Anolis sagrei: one gene and its partner. The protein of the gene in region 2 interacts with the protein of the main gene of each other region in a pairwise test. Links are inferred from orthologs where the notes say so. Each region holds a gene or a part of one and is shown on either strand. Other genes may lie near its edges.

Region 1 (8,121 bases), on a different chromosome or scaffold from region 2:
AAGTCAGAACAAATCTGAGTGACTTTATCTGCAAAGAGGCTTGCAAATTCTTCTCAGTGGGCTGATGAATGGTTAGGGATTTCTTCTTAATGACCAGTATGTAATAGCCCCCAACCACTCGAAACAGCTCAGCTGGACAGTTACTTACAGATGCAATGATGGCAGCAAAGAATGATTTCTCTGCTGCCTCCATTGCCGTAGAGTAGGCTTTCAAATATGCTTTAGCGGCAGTGGTTCTCAACCTGTGGGTCCCCAGGTGTTTTGGCCTACAACTCCCAGAAATCCCGGCCAGTTTTCCAGCTGTTAGGATTTCTGGGAGTTGAAGGCCAAAAACATCTGGGGACCGCAGGTTGAGAACCACTGCTCTAGCCCATGCTTTGTGAGATTCACTTCAATTTCTTCACCAATGTCGCTCTAGTCTCAGTCTCAAAAGGGACCCCCAAAGGCATCCAGTCCAACCCCCTTCTGCCTTCATGCAAGAAAAGCACAATCAAAGCACCCCTGACAGATGGCCATCCAGCCTGTGTTCCAAAACCTCCAAAGAAGGAGCTTCTACCAGACTCTGGGGCAAGAAAGTTCCACAGTTGAACATCTTTTCTTACAGTCAGGAAGTTCTTCCTAAAATTCGGATGGAATCTTCTTTCTTGCCATTTGAACCCACTGTTCTAAGTCCTAGACTTCAAGGCAGCAGAAAGGTAGCCCTACTCTGGGAGAGTGAAAGCTCCACTGGCCCCCCCTCCCCCCCCCCCTTTCACGGCAGCCACACAAGGACACACAAGGGGACATTTGCCTCCCTTTATTTGCACAGCCCTGAAGCACTCTGGGAACTTCCATGGAAAGAGGGCACAGACTGTCTGCCTGTGGGATGTCAACAAATATTTGCATATCCACTTTTGCATCATCCTTCTTGGTGGTGAAAAAAAAAAAGAGCCTGGGAAGGGGGGAATCAGGAAAGGTCAAGAGACAGGAGCCCCTCCTCTTTGGTCTCCCCTCCACTGACCCTGCAGCACCCATAGTCCCTTCCTGCCTCCTGCCTTTCTCCTGGCAGAACAAGGGGCGGGGAGGGGGCTCATTGAGGCTGGAGCCCCCCTCCCACCTCTCTCAGCCAGGCTTCAACCCAAGTGCAATAATAATAATTAATGTCAATAACAAGCCCACTCCTCTCTCTCTCAGGCTCCAACTGTGGCACAATAATAATAGTAATCAATAATAATAATAATAAGCCCTCTCCTTTCTCTCTCAGCCAGGTTTTGGCGGCGGTGAAATAATAATAGTAATTATAGTAATTAATAATAATTAATAAAAATGAGCCCTCTCCTCTCTCACAGCCAAGTTCCAACTGGAGCCCAATAATAATAATAATAATAATAATAATAATAATTAATAATAATAATAAATAATAATAACAAATAGCCCCCTCCTCTCTCAGTCAAGCTCCAACTGTGGTGCAATAATAATAGTAATCAGTAATAATAATTAATAAGCCCCTCCTCTCTCTCAGACAGACTCCAAATTCAGCACAATAATGAAAGTAATTAATAATAATAGTAACAACAACAACAATAACAACAACAACAAGTCCCCTCCTCTCTCAGCCAGGCTCTGACTGCAGCACCATAATAATTAATAGCAATAATGAGCCCCCTCCTCTCTCTCTCTCAGCTAGGCTCTGACTGCAATGCAATAATAATAGTAATAAATAATAATAATAATAATAATAATAAGGATCCCCCTTTTCTCTCTCTCAGCTAGGCTCTGACTGTGATGCAATAAGAATAGTAATAAATAATAATAATAATAATAAGGAGCCCACTCCTCTCTCTCTCAGCTAGGCTCTGACTGCGATGCAATAAGAATAGTAATTAATAAATAATAATAATAATAATAATAAGGAGCCCCCTCCTCTCTCTCTCAGCTAGGCTCTGACTGCGATGCAATAATAATAGTAAATAATAATAATAATAATAATAATAAGGAGCCCACTTCTCTCTCTCTCTCTTAGGCTCTGACTGTGATGCAATAATAATAGTAATTAATAAATAATAATAAGGAGCCCCCTCCTCTCTCTCTCAGCTAGGCTCTGACTGCAATGTAATAATAATAGTAATAAATAAATAAATAATGAGCCCCCTCCTCTCTCTCTTAGCTAGGCTCTGACTGCGATGCAATAATAATAGTAATTATTATTATTTAAAAAAAGGATCTCCCTTCTCTATCAACCAGGATCTAACTGCAGTGCAATAATAATAATAATAAAGAATAAGGAGCTTCCTCCTCTGTTTCTCAACCAGGCTCTGACTGAAGTGAAATAATAGTAATAGTTAATAATAATAACAACAAGGAGCCTCCTCCTTTATCTCAGTGAGGCTCTGACTACGGCCCAATAATAATAATAGCAATTACTAATACTACTAATAATAAGTAGCCTCCTCTTCTCTCTCTCAGCCAGGCTCCAACTACAGTACAATAATAATAATAATAATAATAATGAATAAGGAGCCCCCTCCTCTGTTTCTCAGGCAGGCTCTGACTACAGTGAAATAATAGTCATAATTAATAATAACAACAACAACAACAACGAGCTCCCTCCTTTCTCTCAGCCAGGCTCTGATTACAACCCAATAATAATAATAGCAATTACTACTAATAATAATAATAATCCCCCTCCTCTTTCTCAGCCAGGCTCCGACTGCGGCCCAATAATAATGATAGTAATTACTAATTAATAATAATAATAATAAGGAGCCTCCTCTTCTCTCTTTCAGCCAGGTTCCGACTGCGGCCCAATAATAATAATAATAATAACAATAATAATATCCAATACAACAGGCAGCAGAGTGTCTGCTGTGGACTCATCTTGTTGTGTTTCTAATAATAATAATAATAATAATAATAATAATAATAACTTTGTGCTCCGTAGAATCCAGGCCCAGCCTCAGGCCTGCTTTGAGAGGAGAGGAAGCCTTCCTGTCTTCCTTCCGGGTGTTTTCCAGGAAAAGGCCTGCCTGAGGAGGAAGAAGAAGGCCTTCCTGGCGACCCTCACCTTCCGCCTTCCGGGATTGGGCGCCCCACTGCTCCTGCTGCTGCTCCCTTCCCCGCTGCCTCCGCCTTCCCTGCCTCAGCCTCCTCCCTGCGGCGGGTGCCTGCTCCGCCGACCCGCGGGCCCTTTATGGGCGGCGGCGGCGGATCAGCGTCATCGTCGTCATCATCATCGGGATGCCCTGCCAGGAGTGGACGGAGGCGCCCCCGGATGACGTCACGAGGGGCGGGGCTTCCGGCTCCTGATTCCAGGCAGGGTCTCTTGAAGGAAGTCCCGCCCCTTCCCACAGCTGCTCCTGTATAGACAGTGTAGACCAGGCCTGAGCCAACTCGGGCCCTCCCTCTAGGTGCTTTGGACTTCAACTCCCATCATTCCTAACAGCCTCAGGCCCCTTCCTTTTCCCACTCAGCCGCTTAAGCGGCTGAGGGGGAAAAGGAAAGGGCCTGAGGCTGTTAGGAACGATGGGAGTTGAAGTCCAAAGCACCTGGAAGGAGGGCTCAAGTTGGTTCAGGCCTATTCTAGCCTCATATCAAGTCTCAGGGTCAAGGGGGTCTTGCAAAGGCCATTCCAAGGTGGGTTAGGGGCAAAGAGGGACTTCCTGTCCTGCAGCAAGACCTGCCCCTTGAAACTGGCACCTTTAAGGAGGGTTGAAAGCTTCCAGTGGAGGGTGGTGTAATTTACACTGCTTAGCCGGTATTGCACCACCTGACATCCGCCAGGAAGTAGCAGCCAATAGTGAAAGGACCAAGGCAGAGACATCTCCAGCTCATCCCCTGTTTAGGTATCAGCCAGCACGTCAACGACTTAAATCAAGACATAATTTTCTTAGATCTACAGAGACAATCACTGGAACACCCCAGCAAGCGAGAGTCCAAAGGTGGCAGGTCCAAACCCAGTACCTCAATCCATGGGTGATACCAGATGAGAGACTCTCCCCTGGGCACACAGAAGACTGGGCGACTTGGAAAGCACTGAACAGACTGCGCTCTGGCACCACGAGATGCAGAGCCAATCTCAAGAAATGGGACTACAGGGTGGAATCCTCGGCATGCGAGTGTGGAGAAGAACAAACCACTGACCACCTGCTGCAATGCACCCTGAGCCCTGCAACATGCACAATGGAAGACCTTCTTGCGGCAACCCCAGAGGCACTCCAAGTGGCCAGATACTGGTCAAAGGACATTTAACCAACTACCAAAATTGCAAAATCTGTGGGGTTTTTTTCTTTTTCTTTTTAATCTGTGTGTTTGTTTTGCTCTGTTAGAATTGTAATATAATGGTATGGTTGATGATGACACGATAAATAAAAAATAGTGGAGGGTGGTTCCACAGGCAAGAAGGCCTTCCTCTCTTCGGGGGTTTTATTTATTATTTCCAGTATTTCTACACCGTTGTTCTCAACCCCCGAAGGGGGACTCAGGACAGCTTACACTTGGCACGATTTGATGCCGTGAAATATAACAAAACAATATAACATTAGCTAAACATCAGCTAAAACATTACCCTGGTCATTCCACAGGTATATAAACCCATTTTTCCTACTTCCAACAGACCTCACTACCTCTGAGGATGCTTGCCATAGATGCAGGCTAAACGTCAGGAGAAAAATTGCCTCCAGAACATGGCCATATAGCCTGGAAAAACCTACAACAACCCAATATAACAACAAATAAAACAATAAATAGATCATTAATTAAAACAATAGTAACAGTATTAACCGCCGTCTTCTTCTTCTTCTTAGGCGATCCCTCGTAGTCCGAGGATGATGGTCCTCCAAGTGTAGTGTCCTGGCGGTGGGTTCATAGGTGACTGTGGAGCCCTATTCTTGATCTGCAGCTTCTCCCGCAGTGAGGGCATTGGTTTCCAGGTGGAAGGCGGTCTCGGACGGGGTTGGCTTGACATGCCTTCCTCTTGGCATGTTTCTCTCTTTCGCCCTCTTTCGCCCTCCATCTTCAAATTCTACAGCACTGCTGGTCACAGCTGACCTCCAGCAGGAGCGCTCAAGAGACAGGGCTTCCCAGTTCTCAGTGTCTATGCCAAAGTTTTTAAGGTTGGCTTTGAGCCCATCTTTAAATTTCTTTTCCTGCCCACAAACATTCCATTTTCCGTTCTTGAGTTCGGAGTAGAGCAACTGCTTTGGGAGAAGGTGGTCAGGCATCCGGACAACGTGGTCGGTCCAGTGGAGTTGATGGCGAAGGAGCGTCGCTTCAATGCTGGTGGTCTTTGCTTCTTCCAGCACACTGACGTTTGTCCGCTTGTCTTCCCAAGAGGTTTGCAGGATTTTCTGGAGGCAGCGCTGATGGAATCGTTCCAGGAGTTGCATGTGACATCTGTAGACAGTCCACGTTTCACAGGCGTATAGCAGGGTTGGGAGGACAATAGCTTTATAAACTTTGGTCTCCCTACGGATGTCCCGGTGCTCAAACAACCTTACTACCTCTGAGGATGCTTGCCATAGATGCAGGCGAAATGTCAGGAGAGAATGCCTCTAGACCATGGCCATATAGCCCAAAAAACCCTACAACAACCCAGTGATTCCGGCCATGAAAGCCTTCGACAATACATTAAATCTCTGCTTCATTTGGAAAAATGCTGCACTCACAGAGCTCAGGTGGTGTTGTATTTCAGTATCAATGTTGACTTTTGTGGAGAGGTGGATGTCAAGGGAGTGGAAATTGTGAGAATCTGGACAACGTGGCCGGTCCAGTGGAGTTGATGGAGTTAACCGCCGTATCACCATTCCAGTCAAATTCCATATTCAAAGCGCTAGATATGCCTGCTGTCCAAAAGCCTGGTCCCAGAACCACAACTTCAATTTCTTAAAAGACAAGAGGAATGAAGCTGATCTTACCTCGGTGGGAAGCGAGTTCCACTGGCTGAGGGGGGAAAGGAAAGGACCTGAGGCTGTTAGGAATGATGGAAGTTGAAGTCCAAAGCACCTACAGCTGAGAAGGCCCTGTCTGCCATCCCCACCAGACGTATTTGCAACGCTGGCGAGAGCAAGAGCAGGGTCTCCCCGGATGATCTTAAACTGCAAGGCGGGACGTAGAGGGAGATGCATTCGGACAAGTAAACTGGGCCAGAACCATATAGAGCTTTATAGGTCAAAACCAGCACTTTGAATTGAGTTCAGAAGTGGATCGGCAGCCAGTGGAGCTGACACAGGTTTTCCTGCAAACTGGTGATGCATCAGGCCCTTTGCACACTCAAAAGCGCTCCCTCCTCCCTGGTATATTCCTGGGTATGCCGCAGATGTGGGGGTCAGAAAGAAAAAAAGACCGCCTTCTAAGAAATGAGGACACCATCTCAACCACATCCTGGAAATAACCTGCACAAACCTGCGTGGCTTGCACCACGTCGCAGTGCGTTCCTGCGCATTGAGAAAACCCCCAACTTGTCTTCCTCCATGATGTTATCACAGCAGGAGCCTTCCTGAGCATGACTCACCTAATATAGGCCAGCAAAGTCAGCAGAATGAGGACTTTGCACTGGTTTTAAATGGGGTCAAGGCTCCAGAGTAATGAATTTGTGGCCCCTTCTACACTGCCATATAATCCAGATTATCAAAGCGGATAATCCAGATTATCTGCTTTGAACTGGATTATATGAGTCTGTACTGGCATATAGTGGTGCAGCGGGTTAAACCACCGAGTTTCTGAACTTGCTGATGGAAAGGTCGACAGTTCAAATCTGAGGAGAGGGGGGAGCTCCTGCTGTTAGGTGCAGCTTCTGCCAACCTAGCACTTTGAAAGCATGCAAATATGAGTAGATCAATCGGTACCGCTTCTGTGGGAAGGTAACAACGCTTTAGGCAGTCATGCCAACCGCATGACCTTGGAGGTGTCTACGGACAACGACGGCTCTTCGGCTTAGAACTGGAGATGAGCACCACCACCCCCAGAATGGCTAGAATGGCTTAATGTCGGGGAAAGCTTTACTTATACTGCCATATAAACCACTTCAAAGCAGATAATCTGGATTGTATATAGCAGTATAGATCCAGTCTCAGATTGGCTGTGCTGTGGGCTCTTTGCCTAACCTACTGCAGAACCTGGTCAGTGTGTGCTGCAATATAGATTAGAGTAACTTTATTATCATTGTACATCGTACAACGAAATTAAAAACCATCCCCAATGCACATTGCAATATATGTAGAATTACAAAACAAAAAGACAAATCCTTCCACTATTTCACAGTGGGTTCAAACCATCCTTAGGCTCCAAAGACAAACACAGGCCAGAGGTTGAAGGTAGTAGGGAACATGACATGTTTTATTTTTAAATACTTGCACAATCTAATTGTACAATGGTAGTAAGAGTATACTTTGGAAGCCTCTTTGAGCACTTCATAATCCGCCAGTGATGTTAAATGTCACCTAAGAAGAACGTATCTGACAAAACCAGCTCCGCCAAAGCACTTGGCTCATTGCCCTCCTCCACACACAACTCCTCCTCCTCCTCCGTGGCTTTTCTCACTGTTCTTGCCTTTCCAAAGTTAAACCATAGGTCACTCAGCCATCTGACTTCCTCCCACACACAGCTTAAAATGCAAAAAGCAGGGCAAAACTTTTCAGGGCATCCAAAGGGCTAAAACTGCTATCGTTTAGAAAGTTAGTAATAGGAGTAAGTGTCCCTAATCAACATCCAAAAGGTGAACTGTTCTTCCAAACTTGCAAAAGTTTTAGAACAAAAAGAATTCATTTGATTCTAGATCCAAGCCACAGATCTAACACCTACATCTCATTCTGATCTTTAACCCAAATGCAAGATGGTTCTAAGATAAGTTTGCTTTCCAAGGGGCCAACCTTATTAGAAACTAGGCCAGGCCCTATTTTCAGAATTATGTATGCCAGGGAAAAAAAGGTTTAGGTGAGAATTAGCTTCGAAATGGCAACATCAAAGCTCTGCAAGTCTGCTAATCAATGGTCCAGGGGAAATTGAAAGTGAAAAAGTGAAGGCAATGCTATAAAAAAAGGGGGAAACAAACAAATGTGAATACATACGCATGTGACCATTTTTATGGCCAGATTGGAAGGGGAGATGACACAAGGAAAATGACCAGCCTGCTGTCCTCACAAGGCT
Region 2 (7,888 bases):
TCTTACCTATCTATACATCTAATCTATTTTATTTATACATCTCTCTATCAAACTCTCTATCTTTCTATTTTATTTATACATCTATCGATCTCTATCTAATCTATCTATATTCTACATTGGTCTGATCTGTCCATCCGCCTATGTAATCGATCCATCTCTCCAATCCATCTCCCTCTTCAGTTGTATACATCTATCTGCCTAACCTATCGATCTGTCTTCCTTCCTTCGAAACCCAGGTCCTGCATGTTGCTTTGTCCCATCTTTCCCCCCACAAACCTCATGCTCTGTACATAATGTTGCACAGGTTTCGAGCTCGTTTGGACGAATGAATTAACTATAGAAATACCAGCTACTCTTCTAAATCCTCGTTTTCTTTCGGTAACACTTTGAGCGTAATTGTAGCTTGCTTAGATGATGATTATTATTATTATTTTAACGCCTTCCCTGTAGTGCCCCCTTCCCATTTCCTGCAGTGCTTTCTATCATCTCTCCCTTCGCTTTGGATTTTACTTTGGATAAGATTGTACTCTCCATTTGGCTTCTGTTGAAAGTGCAATTTCCCCTTGTAAATACTCACTTTGGTTCTAGTGCATGGTTCTTCTTCTGACGACGACGACGATGTATTGTGAATATATATAAATATTATATATATATATAAAGATTGCCAAACTTAAAAAAAGGTTGTGTCGCTGTTGCCTTTCTAGCAAAGCAGATTGACAAATGCAACTAAATTGGTTGGAAATGATTGATGGATGGATGGAGGGATGGATGTACCGCCGAATTTGGAAAGGAAGGCAAGCCTCAGTGCAACCCCCCCCCCCCATTTTTCTATGTATATATTTAGATTTACATTTTATTTTTGATTACAATGATAGATAAATTGTAGATGTGTAATAATATCTATATTATTATTACTATTTCTATATTTTTATTCATATATCTATTATATCTATCTACTATAATATTATTAATAATAAATATATTATTTGCACTAAAACACAGTATGTCACAGCAAACAAGATCTATATGCTGGATTTTGTATCACAAAATCACAAGTCGAACACTTCCCAAGTGTCTAGGACTGTGTGATGTATTTTTGAAAGATGTCCGCAGATCCAAGTAGGGTGGCCTTTTGCAGGTGACAGATTGTGATTTTGTCAATGTTTATTGTTTCCAAATGCCGGCTGAGATCTTTTGGCATGGTACCCAGTGTGCCGATGACCACTGGGACCACCTATACTGGTTTATGCCAGAGCCTTTGCAGTTCGATTTTGAGTTCGTGATAACGGCTGAGTTTTTCCTGTTGTTTTTCCTCAATGCGGCTGTCACCTGGTATGGCGACATCAATAATCCAGACTTTTTTCTTTTCCACAATCGTGATGTCTTGTGTATTGTGTTCCAAAACTTTGTTAGTCTGGATTTGAAAGTCCCACAGCATATTATTATTATTACTATTATTATATTATATCTTATATCTACTATAATATTAATAATTAGATATATTAGAGATATACAATAAATATAATAATTACTTACTTACTTACTTAGGCGATCCCTCGTTTTCCGAGTATGATGGTCCTCCAATGTTCTTGTGGGTCCGTAAGTGGCTGTGGAGCCCTATTCTTGCTCTGCACCTTCTTCCGCAGTGAGGGCATTGGTTTCCAGGTGGAAGGCGGTCCCGGTCGGGGTTGGCTTGACGCGCCTTCCTCCTGGCACGTTTCTCTCTTTCACCCTCCACTCGTGCCTCCTCGAATTCTGCAGCACTGCTGGTCACAGCCGACCTCCAGCTGGAGCGCTCAAGGGCCAGGGCTTCCCAGTTCTCAGTGTCTATGCCAGAGTTTTTAAGGTTGGCTTTGAGCCCATCTTTAAATCTCTTTTCCTGTCCACCGACATTCCGTTTTCCGTTGATAAGTTCGGAATAGAGCAACTGCTTTGGGAGACGGTGGTCAGGCATCCGGACAACGTGGCCAGCCCAGCGGAGTTGATGTTGGAGGACCATCGCTTCAATGCTGGTGGTCTTTGCTTCTTCCAGCACACTGACGTTTGTCCGCTTGTCTTCCCAGGAGATTTGCAGGATTTTCCGGAGGCAGCGCTGATGGAATCGTTCCAGGAGTTGCATGTGACGTCTGTAGACAGTCCACGTCTCACAGGCGTATAGCAGGGTTGGGAGGACAATAGCTTTATAGACAAGCACCTTGGTCTCCCTACGGATGTCCCGGTCCTCAAACACTCTCTGCTTCATTCGGGAAAATGCTGCACTTGCGGAGCTCAGGCGGTGTTGTATTTCAGCGTCGATGTTGACTTTGGTGGAGAGGTGGCTGCCAAGGTAGCGGAAATGGTCAACATTTTCTAATGTTACACCATTAAGCTGTATCTCTGGCATTGGGGAGGAGTTGGCTGGTGACTGCTGGAAGAGCACCTTGGTTTTCTCAATGTTCAGTGACAGGCCAAGCTTCGTGTATGCTTCTGCGAAGGTGTTTAGAGTGGCTTGTAGATCTTCTTCTGTATGCGCACAGACGACATTGTCATCAGCATACTGGAGTTCTATAACAGATGTTGTTGTAACTTTGGTTTTGGCTTTCAGTCTGCTGAGGTTAAACAGCTTGCCATCTGTCCGATAGATGATTTCCACTCCGGTGGGAAGCTTCCCATCAACAAGGTGAAGTATCATTGCGATGAAGATGGAGAATAGAGTTGGGGCAATAACACATCCCTGTTTGACACCCGATTCCACCTTAAATGGGTCACTTTGGGAGCCATTGCTGTCCAAGACTGTTGCCATCATGTCATCGTGGAGGAGCCGCAGGATGTTCACAAATTTGTTAGGGCATCCGATTTTGTGGAGGATGGTCCAGAGAGCGCTGCGATTCACTGTGTCGAATGCCTTGGCAAGGTCGATGAATGCCATGTACAGAGGTTGGTTTTGTTCCCTGCATTTTTCTTGGAGCTGTCGTGCAGTGAAGATCATGTCCACGGTTCCTCTGGAGGGGCGGAAGCCGTTCTGGGATTCTGGGAGGGTGTCTTCTGAGAGGGGCAGGAGGCGGTTTGCAAGGATTCTTGCGAGGATTTTCCCAGCGGAGGTTAGAAGGGAGATACCTCGATAGTTTCCGCAGTCTGTTCTTTCCCCTTTTTTGAAGAGGGTGATGATGGTGGCATCCTTGAAGTCTGCTGGGATTTTCTCGGTCACCCACACTTTTTCTATGAGCTGGTGGAGTTGGTGTGTCAGCTCAGGTCCTCCCTCTTTGAAGATTTCAGCAGGGATCCCATCCGGTCCGCTGGCTTTGTTATTCTTCTGCTGGCTGATGGCATTGCTGACTTCTTCCAAACTAGGCGGTGCTGCAAGCTCATCCCTGGTTTGTTGTTGCGGGATTTGTGAGAGGACCTCTTCGGCCACATTGGAGCTGCGGTTCAGGAGGCTTTGGTAGTGTTCTTTCCAACGTAGTGCAATTGAGTTTTGGTCCTTCAGGAGTTTGGTTCCATCTGATGAGCGTAGAGGCTGTATGCCATGGTTTCTTGGTCCGTAGATGACCTTTGTGGCTTTGAAAAATCCTTGAGCATTATGGGTATCTGCCAGGTGTTGGATTTCTTCAGCCTTCTTTGTCCACCAGATGTTCTTGAGTTCTCTTGTCCTTCTTTGGACCTCGGCTTTTGCACTAGCGTAGATCTTTTTCTTAGCAGCACAGTTGATGTTTCTCTGCCATGTTTGGAAGGCTTTCCTTTTCTTGTCAATTAGCTGTTGGATCTCGATGTCATTTTCATCAAACCAGTCTTGATGTTTCTTGGCTTGGTATCCAATAGTTTCTTCGCAGGCTTGGATGATGGAGGTCTTCAGTTTGTTCCAATGTTCCTCAACATTTTCGGGGTGTTCTGTGGGTAGATGGTTCTTGAGTGCTGTTTGGAGATGGGCTCGTCTGGAGGGCTCCTGAAGGGCTTGGGTGTTCATTTTGCGCCTTGTCTTTCTGCCTTGGAGTCTGCGCTTGGGAGCGATCTTGATGGCCATCGAGGATCGGATTAGCCTGTATAATTGATATAATAATCGATACTTATATTAAATATAATAATATATAATAAAATTATAGTAGATATATATATATAAAAGTAGTAATAATAAATATAAAATCATACAAGATATAATACATCTACATATGATTTATCATAATCACAAATTAAATGTAAATATAAATAAGAAGGCAAATAATAAAATAATTCACATTCTTACATCCTTATTTATTTTTATATTATTATCTTTACATTTTATTTATCATAATAAATGAAATGTAAATAATATATAAAGATGTAAACAATAATTTATTACATTAATATTACATTTACATTTGATTTATGATTAACATAATTTATATTTAATTTATATTTTATCATTTACATTGTTTACGTTTTATTATTTACATTTGATTAAATTATTATCGTTATTATGCTATAATTATTATTTACATTATATTTATTATTTATATTACTATATGACGTATATTTTATTTATTATTTATATGCCACTGAAAATCATACGGAGCGACAGCAAAGGGGCGGGGCTTTCCGTTTGGCCACACCCCGTCGCGACTCTTTTCCCCCCCCTTTTCGGTCAGAAGCTTCTGATTGGCTGGTACATGGCGACGACGGCGGTTGTTTCGGCTCTCCGATACTGCGCATGCGCAGAAACTCAGTTCTCTCAGAAAAAAAGAGGCGGTGCTTCTCTTTTTTGGGAGCAGATCATTGGCTCACGCCATTGCCAGCCACTCTGTCGTGGGATGTGATTGGGCGAGGCGATGGGAAGGGGGAAGGGCCTGCTCTGCCAGTCAGGTGAGGACGTTTGCTGACAGAAGCGGCCGCGGTGGCGGCGGAGGAGGCTTGCTACTTCTTCTTTCGAGCCCGGCGGAGGGATGCGGCGGAACGGGCCTCGACGCTAAGGCGGAGGAGGAAGGAAGGAGGAGGGCAGGCAAGGCGGGGCTGCGGTGGAAGGGGCAGGGCGCAGGGACCACAGGGGGCGGGGCTTGAAGTTTGAATGACAGGGCCTTCAGGAAGAGGGGGCGGGGCTTCAGGAAGAGAAGGAGACCTTCCCCAAGGCCTTCGTGAACCATTATTACGTGTATCTTCTCTCTCTCTCTCTCTCTCTCTCTATATATATATATATATACACACATTCATACATACATATATATATAAATGTAATGTTCGTTTGTGGGATTAACATAACTCTAAAACCACTGGACGAATTGACACCAAATTTGGCAGCAAATCATATACTAATCCAATCTACGTCTTTCAATAAAAAAACTTGGAAAATGAAGGGGAAATAACTTTAAACTCCCCCAAAAGAAAAATACCTTACAGAACATGCGCAAAAGCCCCCCTCCCCAGCGCGCGAGGAGAATGATGCACCAACTGTTGTGAGGGAAGAGAAGCCTCGCCGTGGAGTCCCTTTCCATGCACGAAGGCAGAGCCCTCTTTCTTTTGGGGAGGGGAGGGATTGAGGAAAGGAAAGAGGGAGGGAGGGAGGGAGGGAAGGAAGGAAGGAAGGAAGGAAGGAGAGAGAGGGCCTGGCCTGACGGAGGGTGTGGAGGCAAGCCCCGGCAGCAGCAGCTAAGTGGCTACCAGGCAACTCTCCTCCCAAGACCGGAGGACTGCAAGGCAAGCCTGGCTGCAGGAGCGGCTGCCCCCCCCCCCTCCGGGACCAGTTGGGTGATGGGAGTATGCGAACCATGGGAAGACCAGCAACGCCCCCACCTGGGCTCCACATCCCCCTTTTACTCCCCCCCCCAAAAAAAACCCCTTACAAACTGCCCCAGAAGGAAGAAAGGGAAAGAAGAAAGGAAGAAAAGGATTGGTGAAGAGAAGAGAAGAATATGAATGGAAGGAAAGGTAGAAGGAAAGTGAGAGGAAGGAAGAGAAAGGAGAGAAAAAGGAAGAAAGAAAGAAAGGGGGAGACTGGTGAAGGGGACAGAAGAATATGATGGGAAGGAAAAAGGAAAGGAAAGGATGAAGGAAGGAAAGGAAAGAAATGGAAAGGAGGGAAGAAGAGAAGAATATGAATGGAAGGAAAAGAAGGAAAACCAGAGGAAGGGAGGGAAGGAGGCAGGGATGGAAGAGGAACGGAAGGAACAAAGAAAGAAAGGGGGAAACTGGTGAAGGGAAGAGAAGAATATAGAATCAGGTGGGCTATCCAGGCCAGCCCCATTCAGTCAAAAGGCAGGAAAATCACATTCAAAGCACCCCTGACAGATGGCCACCCAGCCTCTGTTTCCAAGAGGCTTTTTGGAGTGTTTTGGCCAGCATGAATATCACGTGCAGCTTCAAACCCTGGCAGCTTCTCATTGCTTTATTTTCCATACCACCAGATTACCCCAAGATTCTATTATTATGATTATCATTATTAAGGAGAGTCTAAATGGCCATCTATCAAGGGTGTTTTGATTGTGTTTTTCCCTTATGCAGAGGGAGGTCTCCCTACCCTAGGATTCTATTATTATTATTATTATTATTATCATCATCATTTTAAGCAGAGTCTCCATGGCCATCTGTTAGAGGAGTGCTTGGATTGTGTTTTTCGCTTATGGCAGAGGGAGGCTGGACTGGATGGCCCTTGGAGGTCTCCCTACCCTAAGGTAAAGGTAAAGGTAGTCCCCTGACATTAAGTCCAGTCATGTCTGACTCTGGGGTGTGGTGCTCATCTCCATTTCTAAGCCGAAGAGCCAGCGTTGTCCGTAGACACCTCCAAGCTCATGTGGCCGGCATGACTGCATGGAGCGCCGTTACCTTCCCGCCGGAGCGGTACCTATTGATCTACTCACATTTGCATGTTTTCGAACTGCTAGGTTGGCAGAACCTAGGGCTGACAGTGGAAGCTCACGCCGCTCCCCGGAATCGAACCTGCGACCTTTCGATCAACAAGCTCAGCAGCTCAGTGCTTTAACCCACTGAGCCACCGGGGGCTCCAACCCCAGGATTCTATTATTATTATTATTATTATTATTATTCTTAAGCAGAGTCTCCATGGCCATCTGTTAGAGGAGTGCTTGGATTGTGTTTTTCCCTTATGGCAGAGGGAGGCTGGACTGGATGGCCCTTGGAGGTCTACTGCAACACTAGGATCCTATTACTGTGAATTCCTCCCAAACCCCTCCAGTATTTTCTGCTGGTCATGGAGGTTCTGTGTGCCAAATGTGGTTCAGATCTCTCATTCATGGGGGTCTCAGTGGTCTGTGGAAATCAGAGCTGAATCAGTTGAAGGTACTCAAAATCCCACCATCTGTTGTTCATACTCCCCCAAAGATATTGTTTTTGTCATTAATTAGTATGCTTTAATTATGTTCAATTTATAACAACAGAAATACATCTTGCATATCAGATATTTACATTACTATTCAGAACAGTAGCAAAATTACAGTTAGGAAGTAGCAACGAAAATAGTATTATGGTTGGGGGTTACCACAACATGAGGTATTGTATTACGGGGTCATGGCATTAAAAAAGTTTAGAACCACTGCTAAAGACATTCTATAAAAATAAAAATATACTGTCCATTTATGGGGACCTCCTATCTCCCAAACCTAGAGAGAATACAATTCGCTTCTGGAGTGAGACAATACGCCATCTCCAAGGATGTTCCCCATGCATCAAACAGATGTTTTCCCATTCTGTGAGAGGCTTCTATTTATAGATATGTAAAATGTTCAGGGTGGGAAAAAGAAATTATTTCTACTTGAGCCAAGTGTGAATGCTGCAGTTGCCCACCTGGATTACCTTTGAATAACCTTGCAACTTAAAAGCCTGGCTTCTACCTTTGGTGGGAGGAGTTCCCTAGCCCAGATTGTTTCATGTCTGCAAATCCTGTTTTCTGAGGGCCACACCAATGAGTGGCCGGGTACAGCTAGTA

The links.
Region 1: the proteins of MARCHF2 (region 2) and FURIN interact in a protein complementation assay, tested with the Homo sapiens proteins (2 studies listed by BioGRID). The link is inferred for Anolis sagrei from reciprocal best matches to the Homo sapiens genes MARCHF2 and FURIN.

The regions. Positions count from the first base shown.
Region 1 is NC_090029.1:22,580,400-22,588,520, reverse strand, and holds the start of FURIN (furin), read right to left. Parts: upstream 3,226-8,121; 5' UTR 3,044-3,225; intron 2,993-3,043; exon of another isoform or gene 2,907-2,992; intron 722-2,906; exon of another isoform or gene 603-721; intron 1-602. UniProt on the Homo sapiens protein: Ubiquitous endoprotease within constitutive secretory pathways capable of cleavage at the RX(K/R)R consensus motif. Mediates processing of TGFB1, an essential step in TGF-beta-1 activation.
Region 2 is NC_090034.1:29,300,974-29,308,861, reverse strand, and holds the start of MARCHF2 (E3 ubiquitin-protein ligase MARCHF2), read left to right. Parts: upstream 1-4,710; 5' UTR 4,711-4,815; exon of another isoform or gene 4,816-4,951; intron 4,952-5,850; exon of another isoform or gene 5,851-5,874; intron 5,875-7,888. UniProt on the Homo sapiens protein: E3 ubiquitin-protein ligase that may mediate ubiquitination of TFRC and CD86, and promote their subsequent endocytosis and sorting to lysosomes via multivesicular bodies.